Linked DNA regions of Oryctolagus cuniculus. The protein of the gene in region 1 interacts with the protein of each later gene in a pairwise test. Links are inferred from orthologs where the notes say so. Each region holds a gene or a part of one and is shown on either strand. Other genes may lie near its edges. The genes, in order: DZIP3, ZCCHC10 and HNRNPUL1.

Region 1 (6,386 bases):
AATTTTCAAAATGCTCTACGAATGTATTCATTATTAAGTTTTTTTTCCATAAGCATGGAAAAACCCATTATTTACTTTGGAATTAGAGTAAATCTGCTCTAAAGACTGAATCTAAAAGATCAGTCCTAAGCTGGTTACCTTAGTATTCCTCTAACCTTTCCCTTCTGTATCCTTTTTTTTTTTTTTTAAAGATTTTATCAATTTTTTGGCAGGTAGAGTTACAGACAGTGAGAGAGAGACAGACAGATAGGTCTTCCTTCTGTTGATTCATTCCCCAAATGGTCACAATGGCTGGAGCTGCGCCGGTCCGAAGCCAGGAGCCAGGAGCCTCCTCCTGGTCTCCCACGCGGGTTCAGGGGCCCAAGCACTTGGGCCATCCTCCACTGGTATTCCAGGCCACAGGAGAGAACTGGACTGGAAGAGGAGCAACCGGGACTGGAACCAGTGCCCATATGGGATGCCAGCGCCGCAGGTGGAGGATTAACCCAGTGTGCCACAACGCTAGCCCCTGGTATCCTTCTTTCATTCCCTCATCCACATGCCAGTTTTCCTTCTAAAGTCTTGCTGAAAAAAAGTTTCCCATTCTGTTTTTTAAAGGAATACATGTCAACACTATTGTTAAATGAAAGCCTATAAGACAGGAAAAATAAATCCAAGTATGAAATATCTGGTAACAGATATTTTGAGCAATATTCTTTTTCCTATTTATAAATCTGGCCCTCCAGAAGATTCAGACATTTTCTACATGAAACATGCTTCTCCCCAGGATCGGACCTATGGCTCAGTAACATCCGAGCCAGCATTATGGTGTAACGGGTTAGCCACCACCTGCGATGCTGGCATCCTATATGGGTGCTGGCTGCTCCACTTCCAATACCGATCCCTGTTAATGTGCCTGGGAAAGCAGTAGAAGATGCCCCAGGTACTTGGGTCTTTGCCACCCACATGGGAGACAGAAGCTGCTGGCTCAGCCCTGGCTGTGGCGGCAATTTGAGGAGTGAACCAGCAGACCTCATGTCAGACCTGTTTTTTTTTTTTTTTTTTTAATATTTATTTATTTGAAAAGCAGAGTTAAAGAGAGTGAGAGACAGAGATAAAAGATCTTTTGGTAAAGAAAATAGATTATGATTACTAGTAAGGAATATACAGCCTCTGTGGGAAACAGAAAAGCAGTTTCTCAAAATTTAAAAATAGAACTACCATATTATCCAGCAATCCCACTACTGGACATACATCAAAGGAAAATGAAATCACTCTGTAGAACATTAACTTGCATTTCCATGTTTATGGAGCACTATTCACAGTAGTCAGGAAATGTCTTCCCATTGATGAATGAAAAAAAAATAAAGTGGTACATAAACACAACAGGACAACAGGATACTATTGCTCAGCCATTAAAAAAAGAATTGCTATCATTCCTAACAACAACTGGAACTGGAAGTCATTATGTTGAGTGAAATAAGGCAAACACAGAAAAGTATCGCATGATCTCACATAATTGGAGCCTAAATAAAGGTGATCTTATGTAAAAAATACAATGGTGGTTAACAGTGCCTGGGGAAAGACTAATTAATAGGCCACAAGGTACAGGTAGACAGCAGTAAGTAGTTCTGGAGTCCTACTTTCCAGAAGGGTGACTATAGATAATATACTGTACATGTCTCTATTAAAAAACTACAGATAGGATTTTGAATGTTTTCACTCTAAAGAAGTGCTAAATGTTTGAGGATATTATTATTTACTCTGCTTGAACACTGAACAATGAACACATGTACCAAAGTATTACATGGTACCCCATAGATATGTACAATTGTTATACGCCTGCTATAAAAAGTTTACATAACTTAAAGACACAGCTGAGGGTCATTTTAAAGTCCGAGTTCTTTTAACAAATTATCAAATCGTTAACTCCTTGCCACATCTGCCCCGAAAACAGCTGTATACACTGTGCGAGCTTGGCTGCAGTGTGAAAACGAAAACCGGGGAGCAAAGGAATATTAGACAAGCTCTGAGCTTTCTCCTTTTCCTAACCGAAACACAGCCAGCATCTCCAACGTTTTGCCCCATCTTTAACCTTCAGAAAGCTCACATTCCTCTCGTTTAAGCGAGCTGCACGCCAACAGTCGCCTTTAGCAGTACTAAGCGATACCTAGAAAGTACCGAGGGTCTTCTTTCCCAGGCTGGGGGCCCACTCCCAGAACACACGGTGAACTAAGGATTAGTAACCAGGGACGCCCCATTTCCCCCCCACCCCAAGGCGTCTCACCTCCAAGTGCCGCAAGAGCTGGGTAGCGTTCGCCTCTGACTTAACGGCTTTATACTGACCGATGGTCAGGAGCAAGGACTTCAAGCAGGCGGTAGAATCCATGGAGACAGGCCTTGGTCCTTGCAGCCTTGCAGAAGATCCACCACTACCCTGACAGCTCCCGGCTCCGGCGTTCGCCGCGCTTTATTTGATTTTCGGCACCGCCCACCCACCCTGTTCCCGGAAGCTTCCGGTTCCGGTCAGGCTCCGGAAGTGCCCAGCCACTCGCGGTTGATGGGCGTGGTGCGTGTGGCTAGAGGTGCTCTATGAATCTGTGAAGGGGCTTGGGAACCTCTCCCTCCTATCCCCTACTTGTCCAAGAGTCCGCGAGGTTTCAATGTGAGATCCCGTGAAGGCGAAAAATCTCGCGAGAAATGTGACTGTGGATCGATCTGTGGAGGGGCGGTTAAGCGCAAGGGGGTGTGCATCTGCGCCCGGAATGTCGTGAGCGATCTCGGTCTTGCTAATGGATGGCCGGTTTTTGCTTTTTGCGTCATCCTCTACCAGAGAAATGATCGCTGTCCTCTATCTAGACACGGTGAGGAACTCGGGAGGAGAAGAGTTTCGGTGACTTGGGTTTTGAGGCGGGCTGCAGAGGCCTCTGTGTCTCAGGCGTCCGTCCCTTCTGCCCAGGTGTGGTGGTTTCCTCGTACGTTCTTTGCGGCTGTGAGGCAAGTTAATCGCGCCCTCACGACGGTAATCTGGCTCTGGAGAAAGCCACCCCCGGGGGGGATTCCTGGGCCAGGTGATACTCCGAAGGTGTTCGCACTAGCGTCACTTTTGTAAGTTGAGGTGTTTTTCTGTTTGGCTTGATTGTTTGTTTATAAATGTCAGTGGCTACGAAATTGGCATTCTTTGCGGTTTTTATCAGCCATATTACGATGCATGTGTATCTGAATGAAAAGTCCGTATCTGGTTCTGCAGTTAAAGGGCTAATGACGAATAAAGCTTTAAAAACCGGGTTGTAGAAAATTGTGAGAATAGGCTACATGTCCCTTTAATTAAGTCGTTAATTAGAAATCGTGTTTTGTCAATTCAGAGGACTTTTTTTTGCTTGACAATTTTTTTTATGTATTGGTTTCTGATTCGAGAGATCATATAAATAGTTCTGTTTCTCACTGTGTGTGTGTATTATCTAGCCTGACTCATAATTGTACAATAAGCTTATACAGTCAGTATGGCACTGGAAAGAACAAAAAATTTACAGCTCGTGAAATCTGGGCAGGAATTCCTACAACTACTGACTTACCAGCTTACAAGAACTCTCTAGGCCTCAGGTTCTTAATTCTTAAAACTGATTGCAGAGATGTTTATCTTTCCAAGTTTTGTGAAGATTAGTATACATAGATACATAACATAGATCCTGGGACATCAGAGCTGATGAAAAGTAATCTTATTTTCAAGCTTTATGTAACCAGCTAATTTTATATGAAAGAAAACTTCATACCAAAGGCTTGATGTTCTTTCTCGCTTAAACCTTTCTTAAAGTTTATATCTTTCTAAGTTATCAGAGCAGCCAGTTCACTTGCATAGTTGGAGGAGGCTGAAGGTGCTTTGTCATTGGTGGTGGGGTATCCAAGTACATAAAAAAAGTGTCCTCCATTCTCTGGTTGATGGTCATCTCTACAGATGCCATGTTTCAAAATTCTCCTTTCATAATTATGGTCCAACAGTGGTAATGGCAATATAACATTTTTGAGTTGCTGAAAATATTCCACTTGGGAAGAATGTACTTAGGGGCAGCATATGCCATTCTTGTGGTTCCTAGCTACATTTATAAACAATATGATTTTAGCAGTGCTACCTTTAAATACCTGAATCTGCTGACAAATTTAGTATCTGGATGCATTTTCAACTAACTCCTAAACTTTCATATTCATTGCAAGTGCATTCCTAACATTGAAAACAAATGATTAATCCTGTAAGTTTGCTGGGTAAGTCCAGAAGTAACTGAATGGATTCTCAAAAAAACCTTAAAATCCTGCTTTTACTAAGATGCTGATTTTGCTTTAGGGATCATGTATTGGCAGGTTTATAACAAGGGGGCAATCAGTATACATTGTCAGATTTCTTGCTTCCTGGTTTAAGCTGCCAGATAGTACAAACAATATTTACATAGTGGCAAAGTGCTAAGATGCACATTGTTTTTGTTTTTTTTTGGGGGGGGCAGAGGGCAGGGCAGGAAATATCTTCAGCTTCTGATAACTTTTGCAAAGATTTTACAGTCATCATTCATCAGCCCTAGAGTTTACCCTAGGAACCAATATATTCTTTGGGACCCAATAATGTTTTGGCCTTTTATGTCTAGATATGCTGATTTTATGACCTTACCAGGAAGTTATACAAATTCAAAAAAACAAAGAACTGAATATGCCTCATTTTCAAATTCTGTCTTGAAATCCTAACTCTCGGTATAATGGTATCAGGATACGGACCTTGGAAAGTAAATCAGTTTATAAAGGTGATCCTCATGAGGGGGAAAATACAAAGGACCCTAGAAAGCTCTCAGCCTCCTCTGCCACATGCTGATAAGAAGTGAACATCCCAGAAGAGATCCTGCTGACTCTGCTGGCACCTTAATGTCAGATTTCCAGCCTCCAGAACTGTGAGAAAGATATTTCTGTTGTTTATACTTTGTTACAGCAGCCCCAGTAACTAAGATAACCCCTTATACCACTTCAAAATGATTGTCTATCAGAAATAATCCGATGAACCATAGTTACAATTTTGGTTCTAGGGAACTCCATCACAAAGTCTCTTGACATATTCCCAGAGGCATTTTGTTCATTTTTTTAAGTCTTGAAATGATCATAGCATCTAATATCTCCACTTACAGGAAGCTTTGGGATTCTTATGGTAAAACAAAAGAAGTGTTTACTAGTAGTGTCAAAGTTTGCTTGATAACATGTAGAAACTTCTAGTTCAATGTTGATGTTTAATTCTATGCTGATGTAAATTTAGCTTTTAAAAACAGCTATCGAGATGTTACCAAGTTTTATTTTCAAGGTTGTTATTGCAGCATTGTTTGCAGTAGCAAAAAAAAATTAAGAGGCAAATCTGGGCATAATAAAATTTATACAATGGCATATCCTATAGTTTAAATACTACGGTAAATATATATATGTGCTGATGTGAAAAGCTTAGTGCCATTTGTTTCATGTGTGATGTATGTGAGAAATAGCTTTTGTCCCATTTCTTATTATTTATTTGAGAGGTAGAGTTACAGATAGTGAGAAGGAGAGACAGAGAGAAAGGGCTTCCATCCGTTGGTTCATTCCCCAAATGGCCGCAATGGCTGGAGCTACACCGATCTGAAGCCAGGAGCCAGGTGCGTCTTCCCTGTCTCCCATGTAGGTGCAGGGGCCCATGGACGTGGGCCATTCTCTACTGCTTTCCCAGGTCACAGCCGAGAGCCGGATAAGAAATGGAGCAGCTGGGACTGGAACCGGCGCCATATGGGATGCTGGCACCCCAGACAGAGGATTAACCTACTGCGCCATGGCACCAGCCTCATCCCATTTCTTAAGTTTAGTTGTTACTCCTTTTCATACAGTTGCATTTCTTCATCATGTATAGAAATAGGGGATAATGAATGAATTTGTTCAAAACCTAAAGGTTAAATGATGCTGAGGAGGAGGAAGATGGTTTTGATAGGAACATTTATGTAATGTTTACTATGTGCAGGATACTATTCTATGCTGTGTTTTAAGCATTCTGTCTTCACAACAACCTTATAAATTAGATATCTCATTATCTCCAGTATTCAGATAAAGAAACAGACACAGAGAATGTTAATTTCACTTAAGGTCATAGAACTAGTGTGTATCACAGCAGGCCCATATACCTTTGCAGAGTGATTCCAGAGTTTTTATGCTGTTACCAACAGTACCATGCAGTCTTTCAACTTACTTTTGACAGTAATGTACAATTTAATACTTTATCCCTTTTAGTATTTTTTTGTTCTAGTTAATACTATTTATTGAACTCTGTAATTAACACACATTTATTCTTAGGTGTTGAATTTAACTGAAAAGTGATCCCTGTTAAATATAAGAGTGGAAATAAGAGAGGGAGGAGATGT
Region 2 (6,447 bases), on another chromosome or scaffold:
ACTAGGTTTTAGTTCCTGATGTTGGGACTGAAGGTATGTAGTCACTCTCAGACCAAATCAGATTAATTTAACAAGGACGATGAGGAAATTACTTAACCTCATCAGTAATATATCACATTGGTTTACTAAATATACAAATTTAAACAACTGACCATTCTGAAATCTGGTGACAAAGCAAGCTTGTTTACAATCTTTTAAATTTATATTTATTTTTTATTTGAAAGTCCACAGAGAGAGGGAGAGAAGGAGTGGCCCACTCCCCAAATGCTCACACAGCTAGTGCTGGGACTAGGCCACAGCCAGGAGCCTAGAACTCAATCAGGGTCTCCCACGTGGACGGCAGGGACCCACTTGAGCCATCACCTGCTGCATCCCAGTGTAGGAAAAAGGAGGGAATTGGAATCTAAAATGGAACTAGGACTTGAACCCAGGCACCTCAATATGAGATACAGGCATCCCAAGAGGGATTTTAATTGTGTCAACCATCCACTCCAGTGTACAGCCTATTTGAAGGGTTATCAAAATCTTAAGTGTGTATATTCTTTGACTCAGCAATTCCATTTTAAGGATCTTAACAAAAAGCCTTCATTGAGTGCTTTAAAATCTTTTGTGCTGACTTAATTGTTCAACAATAGGGTTCTGATTGGATAAACTGTGGAATATCCTATCATATAATATACAAAAAGAATAAATTAGATCTGTATGTTTTCAGATGTGAAAATATACCCATAAATACACAGGGGAATAAAAAAACAGCAAACTAAAGAACAGAAAAACAAATCCCTTTTTAAAAGACTTTATTTATTTGAAGGAAACAGTGAGAGAGATTCCCTGCTGGATCACTTCCCAAATGGCTGCAATGGCCAGAGCTGGACCAGCACAATCCAGGAGCTCGGAGCTCCATCAGGGCTTTTCACATGGATAGCATGAGCCCAGGTAACTGACCTACCTTCTGCTGCTTTCCCAGGCACATTGGCAAGGAGCTGTATGGAAACTAGAACAGGGGCTGGTGTTGTGGCATAGCAGGCTCAGCTGCTGCCTACGACGCCAGCATCCCATATGGGAGCTGATTCATGTCCCAGCTGCTCCACTGCTGATCCATTTCCCTGCTAATGGCCTGGGAAAGCACGAGAAGATGGCTAAGTGTTTGGGACTCTGCAATCCACGTGGGAGACCTGGAAGAAGCTCCTGGCTTTGACCTGGCCCAGCCCTGGCTGTGCGGTCATCTGGGGTGTGAACCAGCAGATGGAAGATCCCTCTTTCTCTCCCTCTCTGTAACTGATTTTCAAATAGGATAAATAAATCTTAAAAAAAAAGGAACAGTAGGGACTCAAACTGGTTCTCCAACATGGGGTGCCGGTATGGCAGGCTGCAGTTTAGCTTGCTGTGGCACAACGCCCAATAATCCATTCTTTAAAGAACAAGCTGTACTCAAAGCTGACATCATTACCTTCTCTAACTCTCAAAATTAATCACTTTACTCCTTTATTTGGGATTCCTTTTCTTTCCTTTTTAAAAAGATTACTTGAGAGGCAGAGAAACAAAGAAGTACAGAGGAAGACAGAGACAGCCAGCCAAAGGGTAAACCTAGCCACTGGTTCACTCTAAATGCATCATAATACAGTAGAGGACATCATATTGCAAGACCAAGTAAGCACGGCAAAGAGAACTCACTTTCATAACGAAACTACTCTTTCAATAACCAAATTAATCCATTAATCTGAAAATAGATTCATTTATTCATGAGGGCAGAATCTCCGTTACCTAATCACCTACCAAATATTACTGATATATGACTTTAGGGATTAAATTTCTTTTTTTTTTTTTTTTCAGATTTATTTCTTTATTTGAAGGTCAGGGAGGCAGAAGAGACAGAGACATCTATCTGTCAGATCATTCCCTAAGTGTTTGCACCAGGCCAGGGCAGAGCTAGACAGAGGCCAGGAGCCTCCTGCCAAGAGCTGCCTCCTCTGTGGGTGCAGGGGCCCTGGCATGTGGGCCATCTTCTGCTGCTTTCCCAGGCACATTAGCAGGAAGCTGGATCAGAAGTGGAGCAGGTGGGACCTGAATCTGTGCAGATATGGGATGACGGCATTGCAGGCGGATGCTTTATTTGACACACCACAGCTCTGGCCCTGGTGGTTAAATTTGTAACACATGAATTATCGGGGGAAAACACCCTAATCATAGCAGATTTTGTTTATTATCTGTAGAAAGTTCCATGTGCCCAAGGGTCTAAACTTGAACAACACAGCATCTCAAGCTCCTAAACACTTTACTAAATAATTATTAATTGAAAAATACAAATGGGTGACCTAGAAACAGACAAGAATATATACAGCAGGATTTCAGAAAAGTTGGTGGGAAATGTACATTTTTCTTTTAATGCCATTTTCACTAACTTTTTGGAGTAATTATACATATGAAGAGTGTATATATATATATATATATATATATAGAAAAGATTGTGGACTTGGGAGAACATTTCCATGAGTCGATACTACAAATAGGTATAGCTACAATTTTCTAAAGTAATATTTGCGATGGTCTTTTTCTGGTTGCCAAAGCAGCTTTGGTCCTTATAACATTGCTGTGAATATATTAAACAATGAACAGTTAACACCATTTTCACTTGAGGATGTGCTAAACCCATTCTCTCGGATCCAGGGCCCGCTCACTATTTTATTCTCCAGACTTCTGCTTTCCGGTACACAGTAGTTTCATTCAGTATCTCTGCGTGTGGGGGATACCTATACACACGAATCTTAAAAATACATACTTTTCCTTTTCGGGAATGTGCTTCCCCGTCACCGTCCTTGCAAACCTCGCTCAGCCCCATGGACGGACCCACAGCGGCGTCCGCACGCACCCGCCTCCGGCCCTCGGCCTCCTCAGAGAGGCCGCCCGCAGGCCCCGCCCAGAAGCCGCCCGGAGGCCCCGCCCACGCCGCGGCCGCCGGGTCCAAGTCCACGCCCCCTGCGAGGAGTTTCCCAAAACTCAGCGCGGCAGGCCTCGGCCGCGCTAAGATGGCGACTCCCATGCATCGGCTCATAGCCCGGAGACAAGCGTAAGTGGGGGCCCTCTCGGGCTCCCGGACGGGCTGGGGGCGGGGAGACGCGCGTCAGCCGGCGGCTGAGCCGGCGCAGGGGTGCGCGGCTGGGCGTCGGACCCCCTCCGAGGAGCGGCCGAGGATGGCTGTTGCTCAGACACATTGCCAGCGTCCGCGGGGCTCGGCCCGGGCGATAAGTTTGGTGACCAGAGACTTGCGGGGTCGTGGAACAAGAAGGCAGCACGCGGGGGTTGGTCACTCCGTGGGTTAGGCCGTTCTGCCCGCACGGCGCGTGGGCAAGGGAAGCCGGGTCGGACCCCTCCGCTCCCGCGGAGGTAAACTGCAGCTCCCTCGGCAGCCTCCCGGCCAGCTGTCTTTCGCTGCCCCCTTCCCATCGCCGTCCCTGGACTCAACCAGCAGCTACTTCTCAGTTACTGCCGGTCTCTCCCTGAGTAAATATGTAGTCCCTGGGCTCGGCGCCAGAGCTTGGGCATAACGAAGAGGTGTTTCATTCCGATGGAGCCCCTGCTTCGGGAGCTCACGCTCCGGTGATGGGGACGGTCTCTAGTTTGGTCAGCTTTGACGGACACGAGGTTTGGTGGTGGAAAGAGGCGACATTTGATCAGAGATGGCCATGGGGAGAAAGCAGCCGGTCCTGAGACGATGTGTGGAAAGAACATCCAGACAGTGGCAAAACTGCTTGGAGGCCAGAAAGAATTTACTTCTCAAGAGCAGAAAGATGGCCAGTGTGCCTAAGGAGCTAGCAGGACAGCGGCGCCAGAGGTTTGCCGTGAGCCGACAATGCAGGGGTCATCTCGGAGGCCCTTTTCCTGCAAAACCTTCTTTCCTACCAACACATCTGCTACTTCTTCATTCTCAGTGTTTCACACCATCATCGTTTTGCACACCTATAGTGCATAGCTCAGAGTCCATTAACGTATATATGTTTATGTTTTTTATGTTTCTCCCTTTTCAGGCCCGATGAGAGTTCCCTGAATATGATAAAGACTCAGGGAGTCAGAGTAGTCAGCTTGGTGGTGAAAGGAGGCTCAGTGCTAACTGATGTCATTAGGTCTCCGTCTCTGCCTCTCTGCTTCTGCCTCTGTTGCTCAGGTTTGCTTTCCTGGATGTTGGCTCCAGACTGGAACAGACTCTGTTTTCTTCCTAATGCAGTATGCCAGGGTCCCTTATATCCTCTCAGCTTGGAGCTGGCTGCACTTCAGTGACCTGACTGCCTTGGCACACCTGTGGGATTTTGAAGTTACAATTGACTCAGAGGTCTCCTCTCCCAGCCTAGTGGAATGGATGACCATGAATGGATGATCTGGGTGGACGGGTCAAAGGTAGATGAATGCTGACTAATCAAAATCCGTAGTAGTGCTCATTCACAAGTATCAGAAAGTTAAATGTTTTCTTTGTATAGTGTGTGTGTTTGGTCCATGAGGTACATTGGAAGTAAAAGGCAGATCAGAGCTCGAGCAGCTTGTGGTCTTGTTGGGAAGAGGTATAATATAAGTTGTTGTGGTGTACAGATTGTAATACCCCCAGGGATTCAGGAAAGGAAGATTATTTTGAGGTTAGGGACGTGCAAAAGAATTTTAGGGATGTATTTGGGGGAGAGGAGAGGAGTCTTTGCTTTTCATTTTATTTTCATATTATGTTAGTCAAAAAATGTTAATTTTGTTTATAAGGAGCATATATGACTTTTATAATAATATGTTTAAAATTGTATTTAAGTTATGAGAACTGAGAAAGGTCTGTTGTCATTCTTTTTTTTTTTTTTTTCCTTTAAAGATTTATTTATTTGAAAGGCAGAGAGATCTTGGGGGAGACAGAGAGAGAGGTCTTCTGTCCTCTGGTTCACTCCCCAAGAGGCCACAATACCTGGAGCTGGGCCTATCCAAAGCCAGGAGCCAGGAGCTTCTTGAAGAACCAGGTCTCTGATGTGGGTGCAGGGTGCTAAGCACTTGAGCCATCCTCTACTTCAGAAGAGCAGCCAGGACACAAACCGGTGCCCATGTGGGATGCCAGCATCACAGGTGGAGGCTTATTTTGAAAGCATAAATTAGCAATCTATATGAAAGATGAATTTTTTAAAAAGATTTATTTTTATTTGTTTGAAATACAGAGTTACAGAGAGAGGTAGAGATGAAGAGAGAGAGAGTCTTTGATCTGCTGGTTCACTCTCCAAATGGCTGCATTGGCTGGAGCTGAGCCGATCCGAAGCCAGGAGCCAGGAGCCTCCTCTGGGTCTCCCACAAGGGTGCAGAGATCCAAGGACTTGGGCCATCTTCCACTGCTTTCCCAAGGCCATAGCAGAGAGCTGGATCAGAAGCGTAGCAGCCAGGACTAGAACCGGTGCCCATATGGGATGCTGGTGCTTGAGGCCGGGGCTTTAACCCACTGCACCACAGCACCAGCCCCGAAAGATTAATTTTTTTTTTAAGACATTAATTTGTTTATTTGAAAGGCAGAATTAGAGAGAGGAATCTTCCATCTTCTGATTAACTTCCCAGATGGCTGTAAAAGCTGGGCCATGCTAAAGCCAGGAGCTAAAAACTTTCAAGTCTGGCCATGTTGGTGGTAGGAGCCCAGCTACTTGGACCACCTTCCACTGCTTTTTTGGTCGCATTAGCAGGGAGCTGAATTGGAAGTGAGCAACTGGGGCTCAAACCAAAACTCATCTGAGATGCCCACATCACAGGTGGTGGCTTAACATGCTACATCACAAAACTGGCCCCAAAATTAGTATTTTAGAGGTAGTTTATTAGTGTTTAGAGCATAAAAATAAAATATTAATTATAGATGTACTTTGGATATGTGTGAAAGTTTTATTTATAACAAAAAGTGAATTCCTCAATGTCTGGTGATATTTTAATGACTAGGATCCCAAGCCAATAGTTTGTTAATACTGGAAAAACAACTTGTGAGCTTAGAAAAGATGACTGTTTAACTGATTGCAAGAGACTTTCCTTCCCCCAGTATTTTCATTGTTAGGAAGAATTGTGGAAGGCTTTGAAATGGAAGAAAAAAGATTAGTAGGTATCCTGTGTAGTCCACCCTTCCTGGCTATGAGACTCTATGAAAGTCTGCTCTTTTCATTGTCTTTGAGCTATTTTACAAATCTGTGGTTGTAGGACATTGCTAACACTGCAGATATTTGCCCTTAGAACTGTGATATATTCAGTTATTGCCTTGTCTACTAACCAGCATTTGTCAATTCATTTTAGTGTGATTGCCCGTATTGGAGTGATGTTTGAATTCTCATTTCAACCATTACTGATTCCCCATTATTTAGTGATTGAATGAAATTTTTTTGACAGGCAGAGTGGACAGTGAGAGAGAGAGACAGAGAAAAAGGTCTTCCTTTGCCATTGGTTCACCCTCCAATGGCCGCC
Region 3 (6,457 bases), on another chromosome or scaffold:
TAATCGTTCCTAACATTGGACACCTCCAGGTTCTATGTGCACTCTGCCTTCCTAGGATCATGTGAAGGACCCAAGAATCCACATTTGTAAATCTGAAGGTTCTAGGTACTGCAGTTAAAAGACTGCGTGTTCTCAGTTCTCAGGGTCCACAGCCTAGAGTATTAGGTACGATTCCAGGGTTCTAACCTGATAGGGTTCCTCTATGTGCCCCTCCCCTTCTTAGGCACTGCCTTCGCTTCCTCCTCCCCCCAAGCCTGTGCAATGCATTAGGGATGCCTCCTTCCCCACCACCCCGGGGGATGGGCGGCTCCCTACTTTTGGGTCATGCTGCCCCCATGAGCCAGTCCCTTATCGCCGGTGTACAAGTGTGGTCTCTGGTGCCTCCGGAGGAGCTGAGAGCACATAAAACTTCGTAATCTTCTTTGTGTCTCCTCTCATCTGCATTCAGCTGCGATGCGGCCCCTCTCCCCAGCCATTCAGTTTCTCTGTCAGTACCAGGAAGGGTGTGGTGGGGTCTACGAAAGTCTCCTCCCTAGAGAGGTCTAAATGAACACTGTACATCGAGGCCAAACACACACAATCAGGCAGACACCCAGCGGGAAGAGGAAGAAACTTGAGCAACAGATCCAAAGTGATAGAAATCCTGAGACACGGAGCAGAACAGGTACCCACAGTCCAGGAAGAGAAACGCGGGCACAGAACCCCTCCGGTAGTCCCGGGTCCACCAGGGGAGTCCGCTCGCTGCCCTGGGCGCGCAGTCCAGGGTGTGTCCGGGAGCGGACCGAGGAGCCCCTGGCAGCGCCCGGACGCCCCCCGGTGGCGGCTCCCGAGAAGCCGGGACGGTTCAATCCGGGCCACAAACTTTTTTAGAACAAATCGTTGTGCAAGGCTGGGAGGAGAGAGGAAGTCGGACGTGGGCGAGGGGCGGGGTGTCTGGACTGGAACCTCCGGGCCCACGTGAGTGTCTGTCCCGCCGCGGAGTGGGTGCTGCGTGTCCGGGTGGCTGCAGTGGCACTGTCCGCTGGGTCGGTGCGGTGTGGGGCCGCCCGGCCGCGCGGAGCTTCGCGGGCACACCTGCGCTGCCGGTGTGCTGCACCTGATCCGACCCGAGCCTGGGGGTGTATCTGCGCGGCGCGCGCCTTTGTCTGCTCCGCTGGAGTGTGGCGGGTGTGGGCCTTGCGTGCCTCGGCTGTGTGTCTGACTCCGGGTTTGTCCGTTTGAGTTAGAGGCGACAGGTGGCGCGGCGTTAGACGCCGGGGAACTCGGGCGTCCGTGTTTATTAGCGGGAGGCCCGATCCGCGTCTCTGAGCCCGTCGGCCAGGTGCCCCGGACAGCCATGCAGAGGGTCGGGGAGGGGACAGCCGCTCAGTGCGGGGCTCTACCCGGAGAGGGGCGGCTCCACGGCCTCCGCGAGGCTGCGGTCGCGGACAGAGGCCCCGCGAGGCGAGCTGGCCAGGGGATGGACACGCGGTTTCCTTGACAACTTTTCTCTCGTCGCTGGCCTAGCCTCTAGTATCAAACCTGCAGGACTCGCCAAAGTTCCGTTTTTCATTAAAAAAGTAATAATAAAACAGCCGAGTTCCAGATTATGAATAATATATCTGTTTAATATCTACTCCATATGCCTCCCTCTACGGCGAAATTTGTGAGGCAAGCCTCTGAAAAACGGCCAATCCTGTTAGCTTTTCCTCAAGCGACCCATCTCTACCGGCCCTCAGTGAGATGAGACAATAAATGCAATTGGTGGACAGATTGTTTTGAAACCGCCCTAACGGCAAGGGGCGGGTCCTTCGTGAATTTTTCTCTTTCCGGTTTCTTAAAGGCAACAGGAAGGAGGGGTTTCTACCGACCCTCGTTTTGATTGGTTCTAGTGACTTTACCCGCTCGTACTCCTCAAGGGGCGGGAGATGTAGACAAATCAGAATGTGTGTTGCAAAGACACTTAGCTCGATGAAAGGACTTCGCAGGAAAGGCGGGGGGGGGGGGGCGCTCATTTTGAGAGCCCAAGGTTGATTGGACTAAATCGTTACTCCCCTTTTCTCATTCGACCTTACAGCAGCGGGCGCGCGGGCGCCATCCAATCAGCTGGCGCTCCGCCTTCTGCCTTTTCCCGCCCTCCGCTTGGGCCGCGTCTTCGACGTAGGCCAACGCTTCCTCCCTGGCTGCTCGTAGGCCCTCTCACTGTCGTTATTTTGAAAACTGTGCTCTAACTGGCTGAGTCTCCGGGCCCGCGCCCGTTGCCCCCGCGCGCTGGCCAATTGACACCCGTGTTGCATCGTACGGCGCACTGGGAGGGGGAGGTGGCGGCGGCGGCGGCCATTTTGAGCCGCCGCCGCCATTGGAGTAGCCCCCCCCCCTTTCCCCCTTCGCCTCCTGACAGGAGAGGTTTAAGGGGGACAGAGCCCTGGGAGGCCGGGCCGGGCTCGGGGGCCGCCCCGGGGGCCCGGGCCATGGATGTACGCCGTCTGAAGGTGAACGAACTTCGCGAGGAGCTGCAGCGCCGCGGCCTGGACACTCGCGGCCTTAAGGCCGAGCTTGCTGACCGGCTGCAGGCTGCGCTGGAGGCCGAGGAGCCCGACGACGAGCGGGAGCTCGAGGCCGACGACGAACCGGGGCGACCTGGGCACAACAACGAGGAGGTCGAGACCGAGGGGGGCTCCGAGCTGGAGGGGACCGCGCAGCCACCGCCGCCCGGGCTGCAGCCGCACCCGGAGCCCGGCGGCTACTCGGGGCCGGACGGACATTGTGAGAGTGCGCGGGGCGGGGGCCGGGGAGCCTGGAGTCTGGGCCAAGATAGGGCTGTGGGACGCGGGAGTCCGGCGCCCGAGGTCGGGGACTTGCTGTGAGGATCGGGGGGTCCTGCGATCGGCCGCCGCGAAGGATCTGGGGACCGGGGCCTCGGGACGGCCGGCGGGTGGATTCTGGCATTCGGCGCGGGGGAGAAGCTGGGGGTGGGCGCTGTCGGTGTCGGAAAAGAGGTGGGTCCAGGGAATGGGGAGGGTTCTGGACCTTAGGGCTCGGAGACCGGAAACCGTGGTTTTTGGAACCGAACGGAGTCGGAAGAAAAAGAGGTTTTCTATTTAGGGGCTTGGGGAGAGGCTTGGAAATGGTGATCCTGGGGTTTGCAGCAGGGTGGGCTGGGCGTTAGGAGCCGCGTTTCCAGCTTCGGGACGGAGAGGCCGGGGTCCTGGCCGGAGCGGCTGATAGGGTCCTGAGGTGGGTTGATGAGATGGAGGCACTGGTGTCTGTGCGGTGGACTGGGTGCTCTGGTGTTGGCCGGAGAGCCGTGAGGGGATGTGGGAGACCAGCTTGTTCCACGGGGGGACCCACCTCTCTTCCAGGCTGGGAGGCCAGCCGAGAGGCAGGCGCACCTTGGGCACTGGGTGCTGGGCGATCCGGGGACCTTGTGGTTGACTGCCAGAGGCGGCACCAGGAGCCTTGGTGTCCTGAAGCTCGTGGGGGCAGGAAAGATGCTTCCCTGGACAAAGGACCCGGGAGCCTGGGACTGGGCAAGCTCTCCGGGCCGGAACTCAGTGGCTGTGCTGAATGGTCCTGGTGAACGGGGCAGCCGGGATAGGACGGGCGCAGAGAGCAAGCTGGTAGTGCTTGAATTTGGTGAAGTAACCGAGGGACAGGGGATCCTTGTGTCCAGCACGGGAGTGTGTAGCTGTCTGGGAAGATGGGGGAGGGGGAGTGAGTGAGTAATGGAAGGAGAAGGCAAGCCTGTTGACTTGGTCCCCGGGGGCCTCGGGGTGTTGTTGGGGGGAGAGGTGGGGCTCAGCATCTCCCGGTGAGGGTTCCTTGGTCCCCAGAAGCAGTTACTTGCGTGCCCAGGGAGTATCTGCATCAGCCAATAGGAGTGAGTGTGGGAGTGGAGGGATTAGGGTAGGCCTGCAGCTGTTTGAGGAGCAGAGACCTGGCATGGCAGAGAGTGAGTCTGGAGTTAGCAGAGGGCGACTTTTTTTCAGCACTGGGACTGCAAAGATGGGAGGAAGAGAGGTTAAGGGGGAAGGACTGTGGTGTCCAGGGCTTCTGGGGGGTCTGTGGAAAGGGCACCCTGGGGCTGGGGGGAGAAGGTGAGAGGAGAAATGGGGCCATGGAGGAGACTTGGGGTTGGCACTGGGTCCTCGTTCACGAGAGATGTGGCAGCCTGCGTGTAAATTTGGAGTGGAGAACAGCCCAGTGACTGTCCAGGACCCAGGTGCTGGCAGCGTGCGTGGCGTGGCAGAGACCTGGGAAGGAAGAAGTGGCCCGGCGAGCTTGTCTGTAGAGTGGGAGCCCCCAGTGGGGCAGAGTTCCGGGAGAGCAGGGTGGTTGGATGCCTCGGCACGCAGCCTCTAGACTGTTTCAGGTTCGGCTCCGTGACTCGGGCAGGGTGCTTCATCTCCGTGCGTCTGGTTTCCTTGTGTGTAAAATGGGGTTACAGGGTTGTTAAGAATGAAGTCACGCGTGAAGGGCCTCTCCCCAGGTCCGCCTGCTGATGAGGAAAGCGGCGTTTAGGGGATGGAGAGGCACCCCAGCATCTTGGCTCCCTGGGCAGGCTGCTCCGGGCCCAGAGGGATGCTTAGAGAGGCTTGAGGCTCTGGGGCACACACTGCCTAGCGCCTGGAGGAAGCAGCTGGGCTGAGAGGACCTCACATCCCAGGGAAGATGACGTTCCCTCTCTTCCTCTCGCCCTGCCCTCTGCACCAGAGTCCTTTGAGTGCCCTCCACACCCCTGCGACCCTCCCTCAGCCTTGGTAAACAGACCTGTAAGGCACCACGTGACCTGAGACTTTTCTCCCTTTGGGCCGCACCAGGTTTGTGCCCAGATGTGTTTGTCCTCTGAGAAAGCATCCAGTCAGTCAACAAGTGGCAGGATAGGCTCTGCTTCCCCGTGGTTCTGCCTCACTGCTGCTGGCACAGCCGTGAGGAGGACTCGGGAGGCACCCAGCAGAGAGCGGCCCCTGGGGCCGAGAGCCGGTGAGCTGCTCGCTGGTGCTCACTCAGTCTCCAAAGCCCTCTCAGGTTTGCCTGCAAGGTTCTGCCCCTTGAGAGAGTGTCTGGGTTAGGGGGAAGGTCTGGTTTCAGTCCCACCTCTGAGCTTTCCTGTGCGGTATCCCAACCCCGGCAATATTCTCCATTCTCATCCCTGAATCTTCGTTCCTGTGACCTTGGAGCCAAACCTTGGCTGTTATTTCTCAGGTCCCTTTTCTTTTTTAGCTCCTGATATTTCTTGATAACCCTTTCTTTTTTTTCTTTTTCTTTTTTAATTTTTTTTTTTTTTTTTTTTTTTTTTTTTTTTTTTTGACAGGCAGAGTGGACAGTGAGAGAGACAGAGAGAAAGGTCTTCCTTTGCCATTGGTTCACCCTCCAATGGCTGCCGCGGCCGGCGTGCTGTGGCCAGCGCACCACGCTGATCCGATGGCAGGAGCCAGGTGCTTCTCCTGGTCTCCCATGGGGTGCAGGGCCCAAGCACTTGGGCCATCCTCCACTGCACTCCCTGGCCACAGCAGAGAGCTGGCCTGGAAGAGGGGAAACCGGGACAGAATCCGGCGCCCCAACCGGGACTAGAACCTGGTGTGCCGGCGCCGCAAGGCGGAGGATTAGCCTAGTGAGCCGCGGCGCCAGCCTCTTGATAACACTTAACACAATCATAGTTAAACTTCTGTGCATTTGTGTGTGTATGGTGTTTTGTTTTGTTTTGTTTTTAGATTTATTTATTTGAAAAGCTGCGTTAGAAGGAGAGAGAGCTTTCATTTGCTGGTTCACTTCCCAAATGACTGCAATGGCTGGGGCTGGGCCAGACCAAAGCCAGGAGCTTCTTCCTGGTCTCCCATGCAGGTGCAGGGGCCCAAGCACTTGGACCATCCATCCTCTGCTGCTTTCCCAGGCCATTAACAGGGAGCTGGATCGGAAGTGGAGCAGCCAGGATTCAAACTGGTGCCTGTATGGGATGCTGGCACTGCAGCCAGTGGCTTTAACCTGCTGAGCCACTGTTCTGGCCCCTGTGCGTTTGTTTAATATGCCTGTCTCCCTAAACTGCAAAGGCCTCCGTAGGGAGAGCTTATCCTAGGCTCTGGTGTGGAGCGCACACTCCAGGAATCGTTCCTAGCACGCTGCAGCCGCTCTCCTCTGCGCCTGCGGGAAACCTTCCTGAAACCCCTCCAGCCTGACTCCTGGTATTTCAGGACAGATCCCCAATGAGGCTGAGGGCTACTCTTAGGATTCCCGTTTTCTTCATAGCTCCTTCCCTTCTCCATTTTCCCATCCACTGAGATTGTCACCCTTGCCTCTGCAGGGCAGGGGTGGGAACAGTCAGAGCTGGGCAGAGGGCTGACTTGTGCCTGAGACAGTTTTCGATGTTGCACCCTGAAGGCTCTCCCTAAGCATCACACTGTCGTAGAGAACAGCTAGGCTGGTGGTTTCTTAAATTGTGCTCCATGGAGTCCCAGGTGTCTGGAGATTTACCCCGGCC

What was found.
Region 2: the proteins of DZIP3 (region 1) and ZCCHC10 interact in binary tests that used the Homo sapiens proteins (3 or more experiments, as listed by UniProt). The link is inferred for Oryctolagus cuniculus from reciprocal best matches to the Homo sapiens genes DZIP3 and ZCCHC10.
Region 3: the proteins of DZIP3 (region 1) and HNRNPUL1 interact in binary tests that used the Homo sapiens proteins (3 or more experiments, as listed by UniProt). The link is inferred for Oryctolagus cuniculus from reciprocal best matches to the Homo sapiens genes DZIP3 and HNRNPUL1.

What each region holds. Positions count from the first base shown.
Region 1 is NC_091435.1:64,352,712-64,359,097, forward strand, and holds the start of DZIP3 (E3 ubiquitin-protein ligase DZIP3), read left to right. Parts: upstream 1-2,703; 5' UTR 2,704-2,843; exon of another isoform or gene 2,844-3,087; intron 3,088-6,386. Other genes in the region: protein CIP2A, read right to left, coding at 2,267-2,368. UniProt on the Homo sapiens protein: E3 Ubiquitin ligase proteins mediate ubiquitination and subsequent proteasomal degradation of target proteins.
Region 2 is NC_091437.1:21,522,808-21,529,254, reverse strand, and holds the start of ZCCHC10 (zinc finger CCHC domain-containing protein 10), read left to right. Parts: upstream 1-2,834; 5' UTR 2,835-2,837; coding exon 2,838-3,067; intron 3,068-6,447.
Region 3 is NC_091449.1:13,343,782-13,350,238, reverse strand, and holds the start of HNRNPUL1 (heterogeneous nuclear ribonucleoprotein U-like protein 1), read left to right. Parts: upstream 1-2,124; 5' UTR 2,125-2,450; coding exon 2,451-2,745; exon of another isoform or gene 2,746-2,978; intron 2,979-3,003; exon of another isoform or gene 3,004-3,216; intron 3,217-6,457.